Macaca mulatta: one gene and its partners. The protein of the gene in region 6 purifies or fractionates together with the protein of the main gene of each other region. This does not show direct contact. Links are inferred from orthologs where the notes say so. Each region holds a gene or a part of one and is shown on either strand. Other genes may lie near its edges.

Region 1 (3,497 bases), on a different chromosome or scaffold from region 6:
TGACTGATAGGATCATCTGGCAGATAGATAGTGTGGAAGGCTCATTCTGGTTCTGATTATGTTCAGATAAACATCATCACTTAAACCTATTTAATTATTAGTTCAAAGTAGAGTTGAAGGAATTCCCCTCTCCCAATGAGTCACACTTGTGTGAAGGTGATTCAAATCCAAATCCAGGTAGTTAATATTTCATTACCTTAATGGAATCAAACCATCGGGGAGATTGGGGTAGAGAGAGATAGATGATAGACAGTCTGCTTGGCTTTCTCCCACAAAAGCCCAGAACTAATCACAATGTGCAAGGCTGAAACACGTTTTTGGGGGTGCAATGTAACCCAGGGCCAAATGCTGAAGAAACTTGGCAAATTGCATCTAGAGAAGGGCCTCTCTATCGCTATAACAAATTACTTCACTATGTATCTTCCTCAGTATAAAGTTGAGTTGGATAAACTTACCACCCTCACCATTTAATGACAAGAAAAAAAAAGAGTGACACAATCGAATGAATTAAAAGTTTAATTCTGAACCATTTTTTATAACCGCATTTTCTCTTGAAGCATTGTATCACAGCAGGTTACAACAACTTTGGGATAAAAGGCAACTGGTAAACTGTCCAAAACAAGGTTCCAAATAACACCTCTTACTGATTTACCCTACCCATACATATCCCAAATAAAGTTTTTGATCAAAAACATGAAATAGATCCACCTGCTTATTTTAAGCATATTAAAAAGGAAACTAATTGGACCATTTTCTATTTGTCTATTTTATACAAAAAGGCTACACAATGTTACACTTTATTCAGATTACAATTATTAGAGTGATTATGAATTAGTGTTCTACACCATTACTCAATTCTTAAAAATTAGAAATTGCTGTAGCAGTATTCACTATAACTTAACACTACGAGAGACTTAAACTAACAGTTACTGCAAAAAAAAAAAAAAAAAAAAAATTAAAGAGCTACTTCAAAGCAAGCAAAGTCAGTACCATTACAGATATTAAAAAAAAAAAAAATTTAACAAGCAAGGCTAGGGTTTGATAAATTCCATCTTGTGATCCATTCTTGTGCATTCTTCACTTCTTGAGTCACTCCCAAAATCCATTTGTATTGTTACTCCTCGACCAAAAAGGACCAGAACAAAAAGTTTACTTCAATTGTTCCCATAGGAAACTCAGCTTGGTTAGTGTGTCAGGCACTTTCTGAGATACCAGCCCACCCCTCGAGCCCTCTCAGCAACTCTACAGGCCAATCACAATGCAAGTTCAGACAATACAGCTGTATAAAGAGAGAAAGGCTGCTATTAATGTTTAAAACAGCAAATGTTACTCATTTGAGTATTAAGTTGCAAAAGCTGTGGCAAAAAACATTAAAGTTAATAACTTCCACACATGATCACATAACAACCAGAAATCTGAGAACATTCCGATGTTCCAAGACATCTCCTTTCAAAGTATATACCTGTTTTTGTGGCAGATTTACAAATAGCCTAAATCACTCCCACCCTACCAACCAAGTCTTTCTGAAATTCTGTAGGCAGAGTAAAAGTATTTTACCCAAACTGGCTTTTTAAAACTTCTTACCTAAAGGATGATTTACAGGTCAGTATCAAACCAGGCCAGCTGATTGCTATCACCTGGAGGCAGCCCATCCATGAGGTCCTGGGCATGTCCCAGATCTGGCAGCCCATCAACTGGATAGTCAGCACCAGGGTGGTGGCCACCCATCTCATGTTCCATCATGGGGTCCATACCCAAGGCATCCTGGCCATATCCACCAGAGTGAAAAGAACGATAGCTAGGATCTAGAAGAGTCAGGGTATGAACAAAATAGGCAAGAAGGAAGGCAAAAGAGAGAGGAGAGAAACAGACATAGACATTAACACTGAGGTTAGGGCATCCAAAGTTCAGCAGCAAACTTGTCAGAAAACAATGCTTTCTAGCCTCTTCAACTTCTAGCTTTTTTTAGCCAAGTAATTACTCAGTGCCAGACCACCCATGAGACTACACAAATAACGTCTGTTTCCATCAGAGAGGCACACCAGCAGGGCCTAGTCACATCATTAGTCTAACCCTGAACACACTGCATTTACCCCTGTCAGACTTGGGGTTCCCAAGAAGGAGAAGCAGGAATCTACTGTGTGACCACCTAGGCAATGAGAACTCATGGGAAGGAGGATTAAGACAATAATGAGGTCTGGCAGGTGTAATCTATCTTGACAAAAAGTCCAAGTGACACCAACAAAAGTACTAAGGAAAGTTAAGGCACTATTTCAATGAAACCTCAACATATTTTATCTTAGGGTTGACATGTTATTTGTCACAGTAAGAATCTGCGCTTTAGTGGTTTCATAATTAGGTAGAAGCAGATGAGGTTATAAATGTAAGACAGTTGTAACTGTTACTGGTCTACCCCATCCTCTATGTTCATTACCCAGATGTGAATTCGCTTTTCAAGAAAACCCTGATAATGCAACTATGTAAAAACCCACCCCAGATCTGAGCCTAGAGACAGGAGTTTTCCTGTCTTCCTTGGGTAGCTTGTAGACAAAAGGTATTATGAGTCCTCTGGCCAAAAAGAGAATAAAAAGCCAGGTAAACTGTAACATCCTACACTGCAGAGGCCTAGTAGTAGCATGTATTTGTTGGTGGTGTAATCCTATTGCTATTCATTGTGTGGCTCTGAATTCCCTGTGCTCCGTTAAAGATACTGTTGCTGACTGGAATTTAAGAACTGCTTTTAATTGAAGCCATTACTTTTCTGCCAACACTAGTTTCCCAGATGAGCAAACCAGCTCTTCTGATCAAGTTTTAGAACTTTAGCTTGATCTGGAGTTAATCGAGAAATATGAGACGCATACCATCCTGGCGATATCCAAGGGGTTCTCCCTGGGCACCAATATCAAGTCCAAGATCCGCAGTCTAGATAAACAGGCACAAGGCAAGAAAGAATAAAAAGCAAAATGAAAATTCTCAACTTAAAAGTACACTAATTTTTTTAAAGCATACTTTCAGATTACAAAGGAAACAAGTAACTCCAACATTACACAAATACTTAGAAAATGGAAGTTCTTCAAAACTCCACCCCTCAAAGATACATTTTTTTCTCTTTGCACCTCACATTAAAAATACTCACTGACTTGATCTTTCAACAAATACATATTAAGCACCAACTATGTGCTGCCAGGCACTGTTCTACGTGCTAGAGATATAGCAGTTAAAAAAAAAAAAAACAGGCAAAATGCCTACCCCCAAACAGGAGCTGCTGACAGGATGTGTTGTATGAAAGAAAAGTTTTAGCCTGAGCAGCTGGACAGACAAAGCTGACATCAAGACAGAGAAGACAGTCAAAACAGGTTTGTGGAAGGGGGTAGGTGGAGAAAGTTAAGGGCTCAAGTTGGAACATGTTAATAAGATGCCTATTAAAAACCCAAGTAACACACCACTCACTGGTAATTTGCTCTCCTTTATTTATTTATTTTTTTTTTGAGTTGGAG
Region 2 (3,500 bases), on a different chromosome or scaffold from region 6:
AGAAAAAACATCAATAAGCCACTCAAACTGTTTTTAGGAAATGACAATGAATCTAATTCAGAGTAATTTGCTGGAAACAAATTTATACTTGTCATACCTCTGATTTCTACCAGATTTAGTTTTAATATCCCATAATTATCAATACACATTACAAAATGAAACACATCATGAATTTGTTAGTTTACACAATTAAAGCTAACAGTAAAAAGAACTGTATATATTAAATAATATTACTTCATTAAAAAAATTTAACTTATAGCAATTTTCAACCTATTTTGCCTTCAAAAGGTAGATTATGGCTACTACTGCAACACGATTCACACTTTACCCTATTAACACTTATAAACACTTCAATCCCTGGACAGGATCTTTTTCAAGACTGATAAATCTTAGGAACTCAAAATACAATTAATGTACATAAACCACGTAAGAAATTACTTACACCCTGCTGCCACTGGTTGTAGCCCTGAGATTGATTTTTGTAGCCACGATTGTTTCCTCGTCCTCTGAAGTTCTACAAAAAGGAAACAGATCTAAGAGCTCTGGGCCCAATCGCTTGTTAGGTTTGCGGGGGTGGGAGAGAGGAGCAGAAATGGACAGGTTGCTAGCCCCTAATCTTAGGGGGCAATATACAAATTCTGGATACCCTCTGCTGGTTTCTTAGTTTTTATTTTTTATTCATTATGAGAAACGCATCTGACTTGTTAATTAGTACACCTGAAAAAACTCAAAAGTAAGTAGACTCATTTCACCATTACTAGTTCAATTTTCCTTATGTCAATGCCTATCATGTTCCTTATGGACTACTAAGACACCCCAACATAAAGCTCACAACTTTCCAGATTAAGCTATACAGATATCATCATGCTTCCAGGGATCTTTAATCATTACCTGGTTGTAGTTCCCTCTGTTGGGCATTCCACCTCTGTTGTAGTTCCCTCTGTTTGAATAACTACCACGGCCAGGAAAAACAGGGGCACGAGGGTATGGATAGCCGATTCCACCACTTCCACCGCCGCCACCACCTCTCTGTGGCATGTTGCCCCTCCTATTATATCCGCCACGATTCCCAGGGGCTAAAAAACAAGGGATGTTTTAGTTTCATTGCATTGTACCCTACTTATACAGAAGACTCAGGATTCCTCTAGATTGTTCCTTTTTCTCCAAAAATAATTGTTTAAAGACAAAAGTAATGTTTAATTCTAACCATTAACAACATAACCTAGGTGTATTTACTGTCAAATTACATGAATACTAATTACTGTGACAGCATACCATTAATGAGGAAGAAACCAGCTATATCCAAACTATAAAATTATCATTTGTTTCGATCCTGAACTAAATACAGAACACTCAAAATTAACTTGCCTCCTCCTCTGAAATTTCCACCACGCATATTGAATCCTCCACGTCCTCTATGGCCACCACCTCTGTTAAACTGGTTCTTGCCACTCTTATTTTTATTGCTTTTCTTTGAGCCAGTGTTCTGTTTCTTTTCTGGTGGAAGAGCCTTTTTGCTTTCTTCCTTATATTGCTCCAAAAGTTTTTGGGCTTCTTCCTTCTGAAGTTCAACATAGGTTATTTCATCAAAGCACTCAGCTACCTCTGGGAGGGTAAAGTTTCCTGCAGGAAACAAAGTCGTATTATTAACTTAGAAACCCACCACAAATCCCCACAATCCTAAAGCTAACAAATTATTAAGGTTTAGTAACGTATTTTCCTAAAAATAAACAGAAATAGACCAAACATATATGCATATTTAACAAGTGCAATTGTAATTCCTGAAGCAGTATTGCTGGAAAAAATGTTAACTTTTCAGAGGAGTAAGTCCTAATAGATATAACAAAGTTACACAAGCAGAATATGCATGGAAAAAAAAAAAAAAAAAGATTTAACACACTTAACAGAATTAAATTAAAATTCCATGCCTTTCATTTTGAGGACCGCATGTTCTGGTAAGTCTTTCCCCTCTACTTCTGCTTTCTTCTGTGTTCTTTGCTTATAGTCTTCATCTTTTGGGCACACTACAACAGCTTTTCGCTGGAAGCCTGCGAACAGGCACATTTTTCTCCTCTGGGCAGCAGCAGACACATTTGTCTTTAAAAAAAGAAATTTATGTTTACAACCCTAAATGTTAATTCTACACCAATCTATCTAAATTATCAGTTAATATTTTTCATCTTCAAAGCTACAGCATACCTGATCCAGAATGAAATTTCGCTTCTTTCGGGCAGCAATCTCAATAAATTTCCCAAGACACTGTGGGGCTCTCTGCAACAGTGTGTTCAGTTTTCCAGTATCTGCCATTTGCTTCTTAAAACCTGCCACCTATATTCAAAAGTTAAAATTTCCCCTTGAACTTGTGAATTTTAATAAGTTATGCTTTTTAAAATTCAACTCTCATCTATATGTAAAGCAGGCAACATACATTACCTTTGTCCATTATTGTTACAAAAACAGGGTCACTTAAACTATGTAACAAGACCCTACACCCTACACTTAATTCTTTTTAGCTTCTAGAAACACTAGCAGCTCCTGTGCTCAAAAACACAGAAGCCTAGCCACCGGAAGGCAGTTTACCCTCACAGAGCTTACTTAAAGAACCAACTTAATCTTGCCTTTCCTCCCACCTTCTTAAGATATTAACAAAATGGATACAGACAAAGGCAAAAGGTTTACCTAGAATACCTCCTAGTCTATCATTTTTCTTTTTTTTTTTTTCTGAGACAGAGTCTTGCTCTGTCGCCCAGATTGGAGTACAACGGCACGATCTCGACTCACTGCAACCTCTGCCTCCCAGGTTCAAGTAATTCTCCCTGCCTCAGTCTCCCAAGCAGCTGGGATTACAGGTGCCCACTACCACGCTTGGCTAATTTTTGTATTTTCAGTAGAAATGGGCCTTTGCCATGTTGGCCAGGTGGGTCTCAAACTCCTGACCTCAGGTGATCCATCCACCTCAGTCTCCCAAAATGCTGAGATTACAGGCGTGAACCACCATGCCCAGCCTTCTCCTCGTCTATTTTAAACACTGAGATGAGGCCCTGAACATTTTACTTACCATCATTTTATCCATAATAGTATTTGTGCCAAGAATGTTGTATTTCCCTGGATTTTCCGCTGCATGCTTAGTAACCCAGGTAGTTTTTCCAGCTCCTGGCAAGCCAATCATCATCACAACCTAGTGAAAATAATGAAATGTCATTAGACACCACCTAATAATTCTTTAAATATTGTTCTATTAAGGCCAATTTAAATATCTAAGTCTTCATAGCCCTTATACTAAGGGACAAAAATTTGTGTTTATGGAAAGAGTAACAGTCAACATAAGGGGAAAACAATGGTTACTTAAGAGAAATATGTACAGCACAAAGTAAACAGACTAATCATCTACCTCTTCTAAATGTCATTTTGTGCCAGTCAAACAATATTCAAATGCCAGTTAAAAAAAAAAAAAAAAATCACTTACTTCACAATCTTTCTTCTCTTCAGGCCCCTTTGGT
Region 3 (2,544 bases), on a different chromosome or scaffold from region 6:
CAACCTTAATTATTAATTTAAAAAGCTGCAATTTTCTATTACCTGTCTTTAGTAGAATACCCATCATCTCTTGGGGACAAATAAACATCTCTACGAGAGGGCAGTGGCTCCCTTCGAGGTGGACCTCCGTAACTATCTCTTCCACGTGATACAGGAGCTTAAGGAAAATTACATCACTTTTTTTAAACACAGTCAGAGAAAGAAGTTAAAACGTGAACTTACATTCAGGCTATGAAAACGAGACTGACTTCAAAGATGACATTACGGAGGCTAGATCATCTCATTTTTTCTAGAATTTCCGATTCACATTTTAAATTTTTTTCAGTGCTAATTCCATTTATCTAGATCACCTAGAACACATGACCAAAATTTTTTTTTTTTTTTTTTGAGATGGAGTCTCGCTGTCACCCAGGCTGGAGTGCAGTCCTGTGATCTCGGCTCACTGCAACCTCCGCCTTCTGGGTTCGAGTGATTCTCCTGCCTCAGTCTCCGGAGTAGCTGGGATTACAGGCACCCTCCACCGTGCCCGGCTAATTTTTGTATTTTTAGTAGAAACAGAGTTTCACCATGTTGGCCAGACTAGCGTCAAACTCCAGGCCTCGTGATCCGCCCACCTCAGCCTCCCAAAGTACCAACATTACAGGTGTGAGCCACCGCGCCCAGACTCCACAAATAAAGCTAGGGGGGTGTGTGCGTGCGCGTGCGTGTGCGTGTGCGTGTGTGTGTTTTGAGAGGGAGTCTCTCTGTTGCCAGGCTGGAGTGCAGTGGCATCATCTCGGTTCCCTGCAACCTCCGCCTCCCAGGTTCCAGCAATTCTCCCGCCTCAGCCTCCCAAGTAGCGGGGATTACAGGCACCCACCCTATGCCCAGCTAATTTTTGTATTTTTTTAGTAGAGACAGGGTTTCACCACATTGGCCAGGATAGTCTCAATCTCTTGCCTTGGCCTCCCAAAATGCTAGGATTACAGGCATGAGACACCACGCCCAGCCAATTAAACTTTTAAGCATCATTTACCTCTCAATTCTTTGTTACAGTAGTAGCACAGATTGTCATACATGGAACATTTACCTCTCCCTCCCATTCCACTGCTACTGCGAACTGGTCCTGAAGGTGCAGATCTCTTGGGAGGAGGACCCCCACTTCTTGGTGGTGGTCCTCTTTTTACTGGGAGTGGTCCCCTGGAAGAACTCATGTTAAAATTCATGGAATATCCACCGTCATCTACATCAAGAATAGAAAAGAAAAATATTACTACTCACAAGAATCAAGAAAGATATGAGAGTTTTTTTTTGATACGGAGTCTCGCTGTCGCCCAGGCTGGAGTGCAGTGGCGGGATCTCAGCTCACTGTAACCTCCGCCTCCTAGGTTCAAGCAATTCTCCTGCCTTAGCCTCCCGAGTAGCTGGGATTACAGGTGTGCGCCACCATGCCCAGGTAATTTCTTGTATTTTTTTTTTTTTAGCAGATACAGGATTTCACCATGCTGGCCAGGCTGGTCTCGAACTTGACCTTGTGATCCTCCTGCCTCGGCCTCCCAAAGTGCTGGGATTGCAGGCGTGAACCACCAAACTCGGCCACTACAAAATTTCCTTTGCTTCATGAAGAATATGACCATTAGGCCGGGCACAATGGCTCAGGCCTGTAATCCCAGCACTTTGAGCGGCCGAGGCAGGCAGATCACCTGAGACCAGGAGTTCAAGACCAGCGTAACATGGTGAAATCCTGTCTCTACTAAAAATACAAAAATCCAGGTGTGGTGGTGCATGCCTGTAATCCCAGCTACTCGGGAGGCGGAGGCAGGACAATCACTTAAACCTGGGAGGAAGAGGTTGCTGTGAGCCAAGATCGTGCCACTGCACTCCAGCCTGCGCAACAAGAGCTAAACTCTGTCTCCCAAAAACAAACGAACGAACAAAAATGACCATTATTAATTTGGCTAGTCTAGTTTCACTTGTACTTGACGGAACATGCAGTGCAGTTATATAGACTGGGGAAGTAAGAACTGAAGGTAGTCTTAAACTTTTTTTTTTTTGAGGAGTCTCACTCTGTTCCCCCAGGCTGGAGAGTACAGTGACACGATCTCGGCTCACTGCAACCTCCACCTCCCGAGTTCAAGTGATTCTTCTGCCTCAGCCTCCTGAGTAGCTGGGATTATAAGCGCCCACCACCATGCCCAGCTAACTTTAAAAAATAAAAATGGGCTGGGCGCAGTGGCTCAAGCCTGTAATCCCAGCACTTTGGGAGGCTGAGGCTGAGGCGGGTGGATCACGAGGTCAGGAGATCGAGACTAACACGGTGGAACCCCGTTTCTACTAAAAAATACAAAAAACTAGCCAGGCAAGGTGGCGGGCGCCTGTGGTCCCAGCTACTCAGGAGGCTGAGGCAGGAGAATGGCGTAAACCCGGGAGGTGGAGCTTGCAGTAAGCTGAGATCCCGCCACTGCACTCCAGCCTAGGTGAAAGAGCGAGACTCCATCTCAAAAAAAATAAATAAATAAAAGAAAAATGATTTCATTTTCATGTCCAACACCTTGGCTTATCAAT
Region 4 (3,500 bases), on a different chromosome or scaffold from region 6:
TCTCAAACTCCTGGGCTCAAGCGATCCACCTGTCTCAGCCTCCCACAGTGCTGGCATTAAGTGAGCCACTGTGCCTGGTCTCCAAAAACTTTTTAATTATGAATTAAGGGATGATAAACCACAACTACTTTGGGGTTTTTAACTTTATTCACTTTGAAGAGTTGGTGCAATCAAATGGATGAAATATAAGTTTAAAAGTTTGGAAATCAAAACCATTATTACTGGAGTATTTAATATACTCTGTGTATTATGTAAAACATTCAGCTTTATAATGGCTTCTTTAAGCTCACAGGAGGTATTTTAAAGCAGTAGTTTCTATAGTATATTTAAAATATGGTTGTGATTAAAATATGTTTAAAAGTTGGAGAGAGTATGTTTCTATACTTGAGATGAAATTTACTGTATTTTTGTTTTCTTTAGGTTACCTTGTACGAATGTCATTCACAAGGAGAAATCCGGTTGTTGCAATCTTACGTGGATGCTGATGTATCCTTTCCTGGGTTTTTAATATCTTTGGTCAAAGGAATTTATTTTCTTTTTTTTTCCCCCCCGAGACGGAGTCTCACTCTGTCGCCCAGGCTGGAGTGCAGTGGCCAGATCTCAGCTCACTGCAAGCTCCACCTCCCAGGTTTACACCATTCTCCTGCCTCAGCCTCCCGAGTAGCTGGGACTACAGGCACCTGCCACCTCGCCCGGCTAGTTTTTTGTATTTTTTTAGTAGAGACGGGGTTTCACCGTGTTAGCCAGGATGGTCTCGATCTCCTGACCTCGTGATCCGCCCGTCTCGGCCTCCCAAAGTGCTGGGATTACAGGCTTGAGCCACCGCGCCCGGCAGGAATTTATTTTCAATAAGTGCACCAAAACTTTTATAAATTAATCAATTCCCTAAAGTTAGTGTCCTTTCTTAACCTATTTCTTCACTATCACCCAAGAGAATCCAGGTATCTAGTTTTCCTGACCCTTAGAAATCCATTGTGGTATGTGTCAACTCAGCTAGGCAAAAAGAAAAAGAAGAAAATCCATTGTGGGATTGATGTGCTGGTTGGGTGCAGATGTCTAGAGAGATAGGAGCGTTAGAAATCTAGTAATAGAAAATGTTAGCAAAGACTGGTTAAAACCTCCTTTTTCTTTGACCTTGTCTAGAATATATCATTTCATTGTAGTTATAATGATGAACTTGGGTTGTGACTGGTAGTCATTCCAAGTATTTGATCAGTGAAGCCTAGGAAGAAAAAAAAAGTTTAGGAAAAATAAAATATATGCATATTATATATATATAATATATAAAAAATAAAATAGGAAATAACATATTGCAAAACAGGTTCATAAAGAAACAGAAAAATTTGAAAAGCCCAAGAGTTAGAGCAGTAAAAGCTAAATAATAGGATATTTCTTCCAGATCAATTTGAAAAACCTAGCAAACAAGGCAAGGCAAGGACATTCAGTTTTCTCTGAAAGATACTAAAATGTGACCTGTTGTTATATTGAGAATATCTCACAAAGAAAGAAGTGGAAAACTGAATTGTTCTTATTTAGATATTTATAGACGTATGGGGATAGAGCAGAGGTTAAACTACAGCTTGCAGGTTGGCCACCTGTTCTTGTAAAGTTTTGTTGGAACACAACCGTGCCCATTCGTTTGTATATTGTCTGCAGTTATTTTGGTACTACAACTACAGAGTTGAGTAGTTGTACAAGCAGCTAAAGAGTAAACAAAATTGAGTGGAGAGACTAATTTTGTTTGATCATTTGTTATGGATTTTAGACCTCAAATTACCATTGTATATATTTGGTTGTATAAGGAAAATTGAAAACTTTTGTGTCAAAACCTTTAGCAGTTCTTTGTAAATTTCTATTATAATTATTGACATGTTTCTTTTTCAAAAACATTGTGTTTCTTAACTGTGGAATTTCTTAGGCTGATGAAAACTTTTACACTTGTGCATGGACCTACGATAGCAATACAAGCCATCCTCTGCTGGCTGTAGCTGGATCTAGAGGCATAATTAGGATAATTAATCCTATAACAATGCAGTGTATAAAGGTGGGTTTTTCTGGTTGAATTGTAGATCTGCTTCTTTTGAATCCACAACTGTAAAAGCTTGTAATGTTAAATTTAAAACTAATGGTATGAATGTAACATTTCTGATTTGATTTGTACTTTTCTTACTGCTCTCTTTAGATGAATCTTTTGAGACCTTTGTCACATTTGGGTAATGTAAATTGAGGAATAAGTGGAGAAATGTTAATATTTGTAGTGTTTTCTTTTTAAATAATTTACCTCCTTCACCCTTGTCTTGGTTTGCCTTGAGAGGCTCTAAATGAACAATAAGAGCGAGTCCATTTTCCAAGACACCTAAACTGGAGGGGGGTTGTCAAAGGGACTTTGTAAGGAACATAAAGATGAAGCCTAGGAAGTTGATAAGAAGAGAAGTTTTTCAAATCACTTTCATCAGCTGTTTTTAACTGTGGGGACACATCAGAATCACCTGAGGATCTTTTAAACCCTACACATATTGGAGCCTCCGCTAATCCGATCAGAATATCTGCAGGTGGAGTTTTGAGCATCTTTTTTTTTTCTGCTTTTTTTTGTTGTTGTTGTTCTTAGACAGTGTCTCACTCCTTTGCCCGGGCTGGAATGTAGTGGCATGATTATAGCTCACTGCAGCCCGTCTCCTGGGCTCAAGTGATCCTCCTGCCTCAGCCTCTCAAGTAGCTGGGGCCAATTTTTAGTTTTTTTTGTGTGTGTGTATGAAGACAGAGTCTTGCTACATTGCCTTGGCTGGTCCTGAACTCCTGACCTCAAGCGATTCTGCCTTAGCTTTCCAAAGTGCTTGGATTAAAGACATGAGCCACCCACTGTGCCTGGGCCCCCTTTTTTTTTTTTTTTTCCTTTTCACTTCAAGTTTGTTGGTTGATTTTGTATGCAGCCAAGGTTGAGAACCACTACTTTAAGTGAAACTATTTTTACGTTCTCTAAAGATTTATGAAAAAGAAAGTACTGATTTTGAGATGGGAAACTTGAAATGTTTTAAATTTATTGTAGCACTATGTTGGCCATGGAAATGCTATCAATGAGCTGAAATTTCACCCAAGAGATCCAAATCTTCTCCTGTCAGTAAGTAAAGGTAAGAGAAGCAAATGTTTCTTTAGTCTGTGCAGTTTGTCAGCATTAAGATGGAGTCACTAATGTCAAGAGAACCTTGACAAATAGGAAAAGCCATGAGAAGAGAGTTCACATGGTTGTATGTCTGATCATAATAACTCACAAAAAAACACAGCCACAACCTTGCACAAAGGCCATCACAACCTTACACAGAAAATACTGCCAGTAAGTGCCTTTCCACTCTCAGACTGGCATCACCCTTGTTACTGATTTTGTGGCCAATCTTATTTCAAAACAATTATGTAATCCTTCTCATTTTTTTTCTTTAAAAACCTCTGTCTTTCCTTTACCTCTTGGAAAACACACATAATTTACTTTGGCATGTACATTCTCA
Region 5 (3,984 bases), on a different chromosome or scaffold from region 6:
TGGTAGTCACAATCACGTTTACTAAAACTAAAGTCCGCAGTGCAATTGACGCCACAGTACTAACAGTTTTCCCTGTATGTACATTCACTTATCCAGCAAATAAGGTCTTCAGTCACAAATTATCCCTTATAAAGAATGTGGGTCAAAATAGATTGCAGTCTGCTTTCCCAGCCACATTTTATTTGTTTTAACACAAATTATCCAATGCCTGCAAGAATGCTCAAAAGTCTATGAACCTGTTTTTTTTTAAAAATAAAAGATAAAATTTCAAAATTAGAAGAGACTATGAGAGAACACCAATCAATGAAGTGCTAATTGGAATAAATACTTGAATTTAGACTAATCCTCAGTCTAATATCCACAATACATGTTGGAATAGACAAGAAATTTTGCATGAATTTGATCACTCACATAGGCAGTTATACTTTGAAAACAATATTCCTTGCAAGGATTACGAATAAAATAATGTTTTAGGACACAATTGAATTTGAAATAGGTAATGTTTTGAATAGATTTTTTAGTTTTATTGAAATCTTACATGAACAAGAAATTGGAAATACAATCACATCAAAGAACAAATTGTCACGGCTTTTGACGTTTAAGCCAAACAAATTTTGTAGGGCAGATTTCAAAAAGGTGTGAAGTTATAACAATTTAAAAACACAGTTAACCTACTTCTAGGAATGCAAAACATACAATCATAGGTTATTTTCAATACAAGAAAACTTAAATTTGTTTGCTTTAATTTCTTAAAACTACTAAGACAAAGCACTAGCTTGTATTTTTATTTACAGCATACTCCATACTCCTATGTAATCTATCCCAAATCCAAAAAAATGAAACTGTCCAAAACCAAAGGTTCTGCAAAATCATGATTTAACAGTGTGCCCAGCTTGTTTTGAAGCTAAAATGAAGCCTGAAACCATAAAAGCATTGTAATCCCCAGAATAAGGGAACTCTGCAAGCCCAATAATGTCCAAGAGCATTTATGAAAAGAGGAAAAATAAAAAGACTTGAGTATATACACAATAGTGATTTCTTCAGCCCAATACAAATGGCAGCAAAATGCTACTTAAAGATGAAACAGTTAAGCCAATTTTTTTTTTTGAAGAATGTAGATCTAGAGCCAATCGTATCTTGCCAGTATCATTTTCAAGCCCTTACTTGTCTACTTCCACTGTTGCCCATAAGTATCCTGATAAAATTCCTGGTTGTCATTATTGTAACCATAGTTACCAGAATAGTCACCACCTTGCTGAAGCGGCTGCTGAGCGATGGGTTGGGAACCCCAGTTCTGTTGGTTGTTGGTCTGACGACGCTTGGAATCAGGTTGGTTGTACCCATCTGCCTTTCTCTTGCCTCCTACATTGCCCCCACGATTGCCCCGAGATCCACGGGAACCACGGCCTCTCTGCTGTTGAGCAGGACCCCCTCTGCCACCCCTAGAGCCTCTTGGTGGTCCCAAAGGTGCCCCCCTCTGTGAATAGCCAGCTCTACCTCTTGGAGGTGGTGCTCCCCTCCCCCTTGGTGGTGGTGGAGCACCTCGCCCTCCCCTTCCTCCTCCTCTTCCTCTTACTGCATAGCCATCATCATAGCCGTAGTAGGGATCTTCATAGCCTCCACGATAGTCGTGATAATCATAACCATAGTAATCATCATAGTAATCTTCATAGCCATAGTAATCTGGAGGGTAGCCATATCCACCTCTCCCCCCACCACGACCCCGACCTCTAATTGGAGGTGGCATTCGAGGAGGAGGGTGGTAGTAATAATCTTCATACCTAGCAAAGGAGGGAAGGGAGAAAAGAAAAAACAAATCAGTTTGCTTCAAGACTCTGATTGTGTTTTATTAATCCAATCTCCATTATCAAATGGAGATTCCTTGTCCAAAGACATATCTACTAAAAGGTAGACTCACGCAGTGCTTCTGGAGGCCTGTCTAGCAGCTTGGCGCTCTTTCCTTTTCTTGTCTGGTGGCTTGGCTAAGACTATTTCAATTTCTTCCCCTTCTATTTCTTTGCCATTCATTTCATCCATAGCCTATAAAAAATTGAAAAATTAATTTATTTTATGATATAAAACTATATGTTTTATATAGTGTGCATGCTATCATACTTGACTCATTTAATATACTTAATAATTTACTGCACAATTATTTTAAATGGCCAAAAGGTGAATCTAGCCAGAAAGTTAAACACAAACACAAAGAAAATACGTTTCCCTAGACCTTATCTTTTTATATGTAAATGACATTTAGAACAAAACCTACCTCCTGATACTGTATTTTAAAAGGTAAAAGGGCTGCCACCTATTGCTGCTCCTTAATTCCAAATAACTAACTCCTTAAAAGATAAGCCATACCTAAGAAGCAAATCCACACCAAAGAAGCAAATCCATACCAGGGAAAAATGCCAATATTAATACGAACCAAAGATTAACTTTTCAGGATTAGAATTTTTAAATAAACATGTAGCATACAACATACAGGTCTTACACTGTTCTTATACAAAAATTTCAAGGATCTGAAGCACAAATGAGGTTACAGAGTGAGATTATCTGTAAAATTCAAGATACCAACACAAAAAAACCTAGGTTTCCCTCACAATGCTTAACTCGAAATGTATTTTGCTTGAACAGTTTAAAGTACAGAGCCAGAAAAGGCCTGGACTAATGAAGACTCAAGCAATTACGTAGAAAGCAGTAATCAAACATTCCATGTTCTAGCCCTTTGTTCATGTTGTTCCACCCAACAACCTCTGCCATACATCAAAAGGTTCAGGTACTCAGTAACAAAATGTCACCTCCTCATATTTTATTTTTTGTTTCCCTATACCTTTCTCCCCACTCTGGGCACACATAAAAAAATGTTCTATTTATAACGAGCTATTAGTGATTTATAAGTATCTAGACAAAAATGAAACTAGTCCTCAAGATTGCAATTTTCCCTGTACTGCTTCAGTAAAAGCAACTAAACAAGTTTACAAAAGCTTCCTGGCATAAATTAAAAAATGAAACATCTACTCTCTGCCCCGACCATCCTGGTGACTCCCAGTTCCTGGACTAGATATTTTATAATTTAATAGGCTTCCTTGGCAAACCATCCTATAAATATTTTCCATCAGGACAACCAGTTATTTAAAACCAGTTGAGTCAGGAGGAATATTTGGAAAGCATAAAATTATTAGTTATCTGCATTCTATACCAGTAAAAATTTCAGACGCCACACATTAACAGATAAGAGTGTAACAGTATAACAGATAAGATTCCATACTTCAAAGCCAGATTATTACTGAGTTTGTGATCTTGGACAAGTTATGAATTTTATGAACAATACTGCCTCATTAATTAGCTATCATCAATGAGCAAGCCGATTAACTATAAACGAGTCAGAGATTCTAGAAAGCCTGTTTTAAAAGCAGCACCCTGGGCAAAAAACAAAACCAAAAAATGCTCAAATTAGAGGTGGTAGTATCCCACCAACCAAACATGCCAAAAAAGAACCATGCCTGTGTCACTAAGCATTCTGGATCTATCTTCCCAGTAACATAAAAAAGATTTTAGTAGTGTTTTGTCTTGCTTCCCATCACCTCAAGGAAGGAGAGATGAACAAGAAAAAGAAACTGAAAATTTCACCCATTAAAGATAGTCCGAACCCATTGTCAATAGAAAGCAGGTTTTGTGTTCCAAATACCATATGAAAATACTTTCTTCATACTTATTATCATCAAAGACTAAATCAACTATTATACACAAGAGATATCTCTAACAATTACTGAAATCAGTAAAACATAGTGAATGCTATTTTAACTCTAAAATGATTAAATAAAGGTAAAACTAATCATACCCTCATCACAATACATCTACTCAAATACTGTATGAGTCATGTACACCACTCAGTTTCCTTCATAGGTACACAAACTGAGGTAAACTAAGTAGTTATAATATATTCATTACCTATTTAGTGTTTACAGCAGCTAATTTTTA
Region 6 (2,770 bases):
GGACCCTTCTATGGGTTCATCAAAACGAGACTTGTGACTGTTTTAAGAGACTCATGATCACATCACAGGTTTCTGACTTTATAATTTCTATTTAAATAAGTCGACACCTTAAGAACCTCCCAGAAAGTGGAAAAGTGGTATACCCAGACTGAGGAAGTCTGATTCCAAAGTCCATGATTTCTTACACCAGCTTCACTCAGTTGAACAATCTGCATTTCACTGTGATACTACCAAACTACCACCGGATTAAGCGTGGGTAACAGCAATTGAGTTAATGTAACTTAGAACTTTTATCATTAATAAAAGTGCTGTACCAGGTTCAGGAAATAGTTCTTTACAAGTGTTTAAAAAAAGGCCAGCTACAAAGTGCAACAGTATTGCTGAAAAGCAAATCTAGTAATTAACTGCAAAGCTGGGTACTACTACTGCCAGGTGTTTTCCACATTCAGGAATTCACACCAGGTAAGAGGCCTATACGCAAATAAATAAATAGAGAGAATGGGGAGAAAAATCACATTTATTAGTTAAAGACAACCACAGGCTGGACACAACACACATGCTAAAAAGTGGACTGTCTTTTAAAACTTCCAAGGTAAATAGGTAAATTTTTTCCACAGCCCCACAATCATTTCATTAAGTACAAATTAAAAGGCCCACGGTTAAGACATTAAACAGTAAAATACGTAATAAATGCTCCAACCTACCCTCTCCCCCGAAAGCTGCTTCTAAGTTTAAAACCATGAATTTGACTAACCATGCCACTGAAAACCATCCAGGTTACTAGAGGCTGAATGAGTTTTCAATGTCTGAGTCCTAGAAATATCACTCCCTACCCCAACCCTAGCAAATTCTAACTTTACATTTGACATAAGGCATTAACATCGATTAAAGCCTCAGTTTAATAATCAGAATTTAAATGAAGTCTCCTGAAGACTTCTCTTCTGGCAAAACCATGTATCAAACTCTGGAAAAACATTCAGACCCACTTCTAGCTATTACTGAAATAAATGATTAGAAAGTTAGGTTGGTGAGCCAAAGTTAAACCTAAAGCTATCCCCTGGATCTTTCTAGCAATAAACCCATGTTGAACCTACCATGAAAACTTTTATTCACTGTGCTTTTGGTTATGTTGCCTCCTGATTAGTCATTAATTTTAATGAGGTTTTTTCCTTGTGTTGAGTATGAATAGACCTTACAGTTTGAAGATCTCTAAAATTCCCTGAATTATTGGAAAGACATTCATGACTCCCAGCGTGACTACAGTTAAGAGCCCCAGGGAGCCTGTGAAGACTAGAATCTACAAGTAACCTGCACTGAGAACGTTGTGCAAACTCAATCAGTTAAGGAGACTCAAGTTTAGCTCCTGGCCATCTTAAAGAGCGAATGTATGTCTTTCACAGGTTTGTTCAACATTTCAGTAATTCACAGTATAGCCAAGAGCATGAGAATAAATCTCTTGAAAAAAACCAGTTATTTGGAGCTTTTTAAATTATAAATTTTGCCAAAGTCATCCACATTCTCACATTACATAGATGACTTTGTATCTATTTCACTATTCTCTCATTTAACCATACTAGCAAATAAGGAAAAGGCTATATTAAATGACTCCCCTGATGTTGGGAGCTGACAAAGCTTTTATGCAATGTAGCCTATAACTAAAAATTCACCTAAATCAGTTCATTGACTCCTGCAATATAGTTCATTGTAAAGGGCCTTCTGATTCCCCCTGCCTCCCAAATTAAATAAAAAGGAGCAGTCATTTGTTTTCATGATTAAAAACAAAACAAAACAAAAAAAACCAGACCATCTAAGCAAAGTTTTACATAACATTATATATATAAAATAAAGTACAATTTCCACTTAATTCAGTCTTCAAATATTTTTTATTGGAAGGCCATGCATTGCCTTCATTTATTGTATTTCAAATCACTGTACATTTACTTTTGTGAAAACACTGCCTGCATTTTCTAGTACAAAAAAAACCTAAAAATTGTTTCAGGAATGTAGAGAAATATCCAACTTAAATAGCGAAAAAGTGCACCATAATTACTGCTGCACTGCAGTCATTTCTGCAATTCCCATGTTTCTTAAATAACTATCTTGTCAGATAACACACAATATAAAGAGCAATTATGAAAAACAGACATTTACATATACTTCTAAAGTCTTATTGAGAATATCCTGTTGGCATTGGATAACCAATCATAGGTGCGGCTGCAGTAGCAGGATATGCATATGCCTGTTGGTTCATACCATTGTGCATATTTGGAACATTACTTCCGTATTGCTGAGTGCTATCATAACCATTCTGGTAAGTCCCTGTTGGATTACCAGTCCTAAAACTGGTCTGTATACCAGCAGACACAAAATTACTTCCAAAGCTCCCATTAGTGTAATTTGCAGCACTGTAAACACCATTCTGAGTTTTTGCCCCAAAATCTCTCTTTAGCAGGCTAGAGTAACCTCTGTCATAATTTTCCCTGTCTCTAAAGGTATTAAATCCACCCCTTTTGCCCGCAGAGTATCTGTCCCGACGGTCATCCTTCATGCCTCCTCTACCCCTGGAACGACCTGTCAAAAAAAAAAAAAAATTGCAAATTGATCAATTATGTCTATGACACAAATCATTGTGGACAGAAAGAATTAGATCTATTCATTGCAGGCGTGAAATGGTTTTACAGTTTTTCAACATAAGTTTTCCGTTCAAGGTTTTACTCACCCTCCAATACCATTTAAATGGATTTGTAGACAACGATGTGACTCACAACTA
Region 7 (3,500 bases), on a different chromosome or scaffold from region 6:
CCAGCCCCACACCCCTGAGGCTTCAGTGTTCTGTCTGTGGCTCTACAGCAGCATTTCCTGTCGTCTCCTCCCAGTGCTAAATCCAACGGAAGCAATTTGCCCTTCAATGCCCATCGCTAAACCTCAGGCTCCAAGAGGGTGGGTAATGAGTCCCACTGTCTCTTTGAGCCCACCAGATGGGAGCCTGCAGCACTTACTGAGCAACCACATATACAGGGCTCAGGGACTGGGTGAAGGCCACGAGGGATGGGATAAAATGACAGTCATTGGGAACTGACTGGCTACAGGGGAGACCTGGGGACCACCACAAGAAAAGTGCAGGCTGCGGTTCGGGCTGGCCACCTTGGCCCTTCCTCCCTGCCAGGGCTCATCTCAAGGCCTGCGCCACCCAAGCTTGCAACGGGGAGTCAGGGCATGGGTGCACCACCATAGAAGAGGGAGCTCACCTTCAGGCCAGGGCTTGGGAGGCCCTCCAGGAGGCTGGCCCGGCATCCCAGGGGGCACGCCTGAGGGTCCTGGGGGGGGCATGTTGGGCCCTCCCATACCTACACGTAGGGAGAAACAAACAAAAGAGAAAATAGTGCTCCCCAGGTTTATGCCTGCGCCCAGCCCCGTGGGCAGCCCTGGCTTCAGGGGACACAGCAGATACACCTATTAACCAGCACCCCCAGGGGAAGCAGGGAGCTGGGGAAACAGCATTTAGCAGGACAGCTGCCCCCACCACCCGAGCACCCAGAAGTGCAGCATGGGCCCGTGCAATCCCAAACCGGGGAACCCAGTTGGCAGCAGAGCCCAGTCTGTCCACTCCTCCACTCACGCCCCAGCCATTCACTCTGAGACACCTGAGGGCCAGGGCAGCCAGCCTTACCATGAGGCCTGCTGTAATTTGGAGGTGCCGGGCCGGGACCGGGGCCAGGGCCAGGGCCAGGGCCAGGGCCAGGTCCTGTTGCGGACACCGAGGGTGGAGGTAGCGTTGGCATCTGCTGCTGCATCCCAGGCATTGGCCGCTTGCCCTGCACCGCCATCTGCAGGTGGTCGGGGAGGGGCTGCCCCCTGGCCAGCATCTTGTAGGCCATGATCTGAGCTCTGAGCTGGTGCAGCTGGTTCTGGTTAAATGGGGTTGGGCCCCGGTTCTGCTGCCCCAAGGCCTGGGGGTCAGCACCATCCAGCGGTGCCCCTCCTGGTCCGGAAGACATCTGGGGGCCTGAAGACGGGCCACTGGCTGGAACTGGACTAGAGGCATGCTCAGAGCCACCCAGGGGCGAGGGGTAACCTGCAGAGAAAGGCCAGCCCACTGGTCACTAGGCAGCCTACGTCTGTGATTTTTACAACTTCTTCCCTACACCAGCTCCTACTCTGAGACAGGGCACGACCAAATGGCATCCTTCTTGAGTCAATCAGGGGCACCTGGAGGGCACGCGCTGGAGACACCTCAGCCCAGTAGCCGGCATGGTGGATTTGGTTTAACCCACGTCTCAGTAAGGTGCTGCTGGTTAATGCTGAGAACCTGTGCATGAAATCACGGCTCTCTCCCGGCCTCCGCCTGCTTGTCCACAGGTGGGGTCCACATCTTCGGGCTGGCTGGGCCCGCTCCCAACATTTCCATTCCCAGTGGAGCCCCTGAGCTTCCCACCCCTGATGACAGCAAGAACTTGGCAAGTCACCCACCATATCACTTCTCAATTGTCCTCGTACAGAAAAGGCACCTGCTGGGCTCATTAAAGCAGAGTCCCAGGCCCTAGGAATCTGTATTTTCAGTAAGTTCCTCAGTGGCATGGGGCTGCTGCCCTGCACAGCCGTCCTCTATCACCCATGCTGAATACGGTCTGCCCCCCAACCAGCACTTCCCCTTCTGGGGCTGCTCCAAGACGAGGTGGCCAGAACAGAGCACCAGCCATGCCACGCCAGACAGCCCTCTGTGGCAGGCCACCCACCTGGCTAAATCATCCTAGGTACTCCCGGAATCCATCCTGTGGGAACCCAGGGGAAGAAAATGATCTGAGGACTCTGGTGTATGACAAACACAAGACAGGAAGGAAAGCAGTTTGGTACCTTGGGAGTGCTGGTCCATGGGGCTGGGCGGGGGCCCCATCCCAGCGTGGCCCCCTGACCGCATCCCCATTCCTTTCATCTGGTTGTAGCGCGGGTCGTCCGACATGCCCTTCTCGTGCATGGACTCCATGGGCTGCGAGAGGGACCATGACAAGGCAGGGTGAGCATGTGGAACGTGAGGTGGTGGCACGGCTATGCGCTGCCCAAGAGAAGCTCGAGGGCACTGAGAATGGCCACCTATGACAACATGCATCTCCCCAGTCCCCAGCGTTACTACACGGCTTGGCTCTAAGGCAGGGTTCTGACACCTACTTAGGCCTCAAGACAGGTACACAAAATAAATGTCACCCAGTGGAGCACGAGCACCTGGGAGACTGTGGCCAGGCAATCCTCATCTTCCACCACCCAGGACCTCCTGTGGCCCCGACACTTAGAAACATCACTTTTCTTATGGATGCTAATACGACCTTTTCTTTCAGATGTTGTATGTATAAGAGAATATGTCCTCTAACCATGCCCAGGGACACACACAAGAGACTTGTGACCATACAGAGGCTTCTCCGCCTCGCTGACTGAAGGTCCTGCTCAGCGCAGGTGAGTGGTAAAGAGAGTGGCTGAGGGGCGCGCCTTGGAGAAAAGGGCACCCGCTGCTCGGCTCTGCGAGCGGCACAGGTGAGCTCGACAGCCAGAACGGGGGAAACAACGTGGCTAAAAGCCTTTTTAGTAATTTGGATGTTTTTCTTCGTTACCAAAAGAAAACTTTGGAGTGATATTCCCAAATTTCCCACGCAGAAAGCAAGGGAGCGGAAACGGTGGGGCAGGTGTCCGCAGGGGCCACGATGTGCTGCTCAGGCCCAGATCATGTGCCAGCACAGGCTGGAGTCCGACGAGCTGACCCCTCTGTTCACGGCCATGGGCCCCGGCGTAGGGGGCTGAGCCAAGGCATGCCACCTCCAACAAGAAGGCTTCCCCCCCGTCCTCTGAGTAAGGCCCTCGGTCCAGAGGCTGCCTGCAGCCCTAGGGGGCAGGGGCCCCTACCTTGTGCATCTGGTGCATGTTGTCCTGAGGGTACCCTCCAGGCCCCTGGGTGGGGATGGGGTGTCCTGCTGAGGGCGGCCCCGGGCTGGGCCCCATCATGCTGTGGGCGGAGCCCGGTGAGGGACCCGGGCTAGGGCCCAGCATGGCTCCAGGGGAAGGGCCAGGGCCCGGGGAAGGACCCGGCCGAGGAGTTCCGCCCAGGGGTGGGTCTGGAGTGGACATCTTCACGGGAGCTGCAGACAGTGGCCTCCTGCTGGCAGAAAGTCCCAGTCAGTCTGGGGTTCACGACCCAGGGTGAGGCAGGACAGGGATAGCAAGGGACATCAGAATCTCCTTCCGACAGGAAGCCAGCACCTTTCACCCCAGTCACCTGAACCTTTTCTTCACGACCACTCTCAGAGGAAGTGCAA

What was found.
Region 1: the proteins of DDX5 (region 6) and CTNNB1 purify together in Homo sapiens (affinity purification with mass spectrometry; 3 studies listed by BioGRID, with this or other methods). This does not show direct contact. The link is inferred for Macaca mulatta from reciprocal best matches to the Homo sapiens genes DDX5 and CTNNB1.
Region 2: the proteins of DDX5 (region 6) and HNRNPU purify together in Homo sapiens (affinity purification with mass spectrometry; 3 studies listed by BioGRID and IntAct, with this or other methods). This does not show direct contact. The link is inferred for Macaca mulatta from reciprocal best matches to the Homo sapiens genes DDX5 and HNRNPU.
Region 3: the proteins of DDX5 (region 6) and RBMX fractionate together in Homo sapiens (co-fractionation; 3 studies listed by BioGRID and IntAct, with this or other methods). This does not show direct contact. The link is inferred for Macaca mulatta from reciprocal best matches to the Homo sapiens genes DDX5 and RBMX.
Region 4: the proteins of DDX5 (region 6) and EED purify together in Homo sapiens (affinity purification with western blotting; 3 studies listed by BioGRID, with this or other methods). This does not show direct contact. The link is inferred for Macaca mulatta from reciprocal best matches to the Homo sapiens genes DDX5 and EED.
Region 5: the proteins of DDX5 (region 6) and HNRNPR fractionate together in Homo sapiens (co-fractionation; 3 studies listed by BioGRID and IntAct, with this or other methods). This does not show direct contact. The link is inferred for Macaca mulatta from reciprocal best matches to the Homo sapiens genes DDX5 and HNRNPR.
Region 7: the proteins of DDX5 (region 6) and SMARCA4 purify together in Homo sapiens (affinity purification with western blotting; 3 studies listed by BioGRID and IntAct, with this or other methods). This does not show direct contact. The link is inferred for Macaca mulatta from reciprocal best matches to the Homo sapiens genes DDX5 and SMARCA4.

What each region holds. Positions count from the first base shown.
Region 1 is NC_133407.1:104,579,637-104,583,133, reverse strand, and holds the end of CTNNB1 (catenin beta-1), read right to left. Parts: intron 2,923-3,497; coding exon 2,862-2,922; intron 1,806-2,861; coding exon 1,597-1,805; 3' UTR 1,585-1,596; exon of another isoform or gene 1,280-1,584; 3' UTR 501-1,279; downstream 1-500. UniProt on the Homo sapiens protein: Key downstream component of the canonical Wnt signaling pathway.
Region 2 is NC_133406.1:4,254,134-4,257,633, reverse strand, and holds part of HNRNPU (heterogeneous nuclear ribonucleoprotein U), read right to left. Parts: coding exon 3,467-3,500; intron 3,179-3,466; coding exon 3,059-3,178; intron 2,329-3,058; coding exon 2,200-2,328; intron 2,098-2,199; coding exon 1,929-2,097; intron 1,624-1,928; coding exon 1,369-1,623; intron 1,077-1,368; coding exon 892-1,076; intron 515-891; coding exon 443-514; intron 1-442. UniProt on the Homo sapiens protein: DNA- and RNA-binding protein involved in several cellular processes such as nuclear chromatin organization, telomere-length regulation, transcription, mRNA alternative splicing and stability, Xist-mediated transcriptional silencing and mitotic cell progression.
Region 3 is NC_133426.1:143,218,700-143,221,243, forward strand, and holds part of RBMX (RNA-binding motif protein, X chromosome), read right to left. Parts: intron 1,223-2,544; coding exon 1,070-1,222; intron 158-1,069; coding exon 43-157; intron 1-42.
Region 4 is NC_133419.1:86,850,702-86,854,201, forward strand, and holds part of EED (polycomb protein EED), read left to right. Parts: intron 1-420; coding exon 421-486; intron 487-1,918; coding exon 1,919-2,044; intron 2,045-3,046; coding exon 3,047-3,128; intron 3,129-3,500. UniProt on the Homo sapiens protein: Polycomb group (PcG) protein. Component of the PRC2/EED-EZH2 complex, which methylates 'Lys-9' and 'Lys-27' of histone H3, leading to transcriptional repression of the affected target gene.
Region 5 is NC_133406.1:217,695,343-217,699,326, reverse strand, and holds the end of HNRNPR (heterogeneous nuclear ribonucleoprotein R), read right to left. Parts: intron 2,041-3,984; coding exon 1,919-2,040; intron 1,782-1,918; coding exon 1,169-1,781; 3' UTR 501-1,168; downstream 1-500. UniProt on the Homo sapiens protein: Component of ribonucleosomes, which are complexes of at least 20 other different heterogeneous nuclear ribonucleoproteins (hnRNP). hnRNP play an important role in processing of precursor mRNA in the nucleus.
Region 6 is NC_133421.1:74,397,691-74,400,460, forward strand, and holds the end of DDX5 (probable ATP-dependent RNA helicase DDX5), read right to left. Parts: intron 2,572-2,770; coding exon 2,168-2,571; 3' UTR 501-2,167; downstream 1-500. UniProt on the Homo sapiens protein: Involved in the alternative regulation of pre-mRNA splicing; its RNA helicase activity is necessary for increasing tau exon 10 inclusion and occurs in a RBM4-dependent manner. Binds to the tau pre-mRNA in the stem-loop region downstream of exon 10.
Region 7 is NC_133424.1:11,723,705-11,727,204, reverse strand, and holds part of SMARCA4 (SWI/SNF-related matrix-associated actin-dependent regulator of chromatin subfamily A member 4), read right to left. Parts: intron 3,344-3,500; exon of another isoform or gene 3,341-3,343; 5' UTR 3,313-3,340; coding exon 3,091-3,312; intron 2,186-3,090; coding exon 2,053-2,185; intron 1,274-2,052; coding exon 869-1,273; intron 546-868; coding exon 447-545; intron 1-446. UniProt on the Homo sapiens protein: ATPase involved in transcriptional activation and repression of select genes by chromatin remodeling (alteration of DNA-nucleosome topology).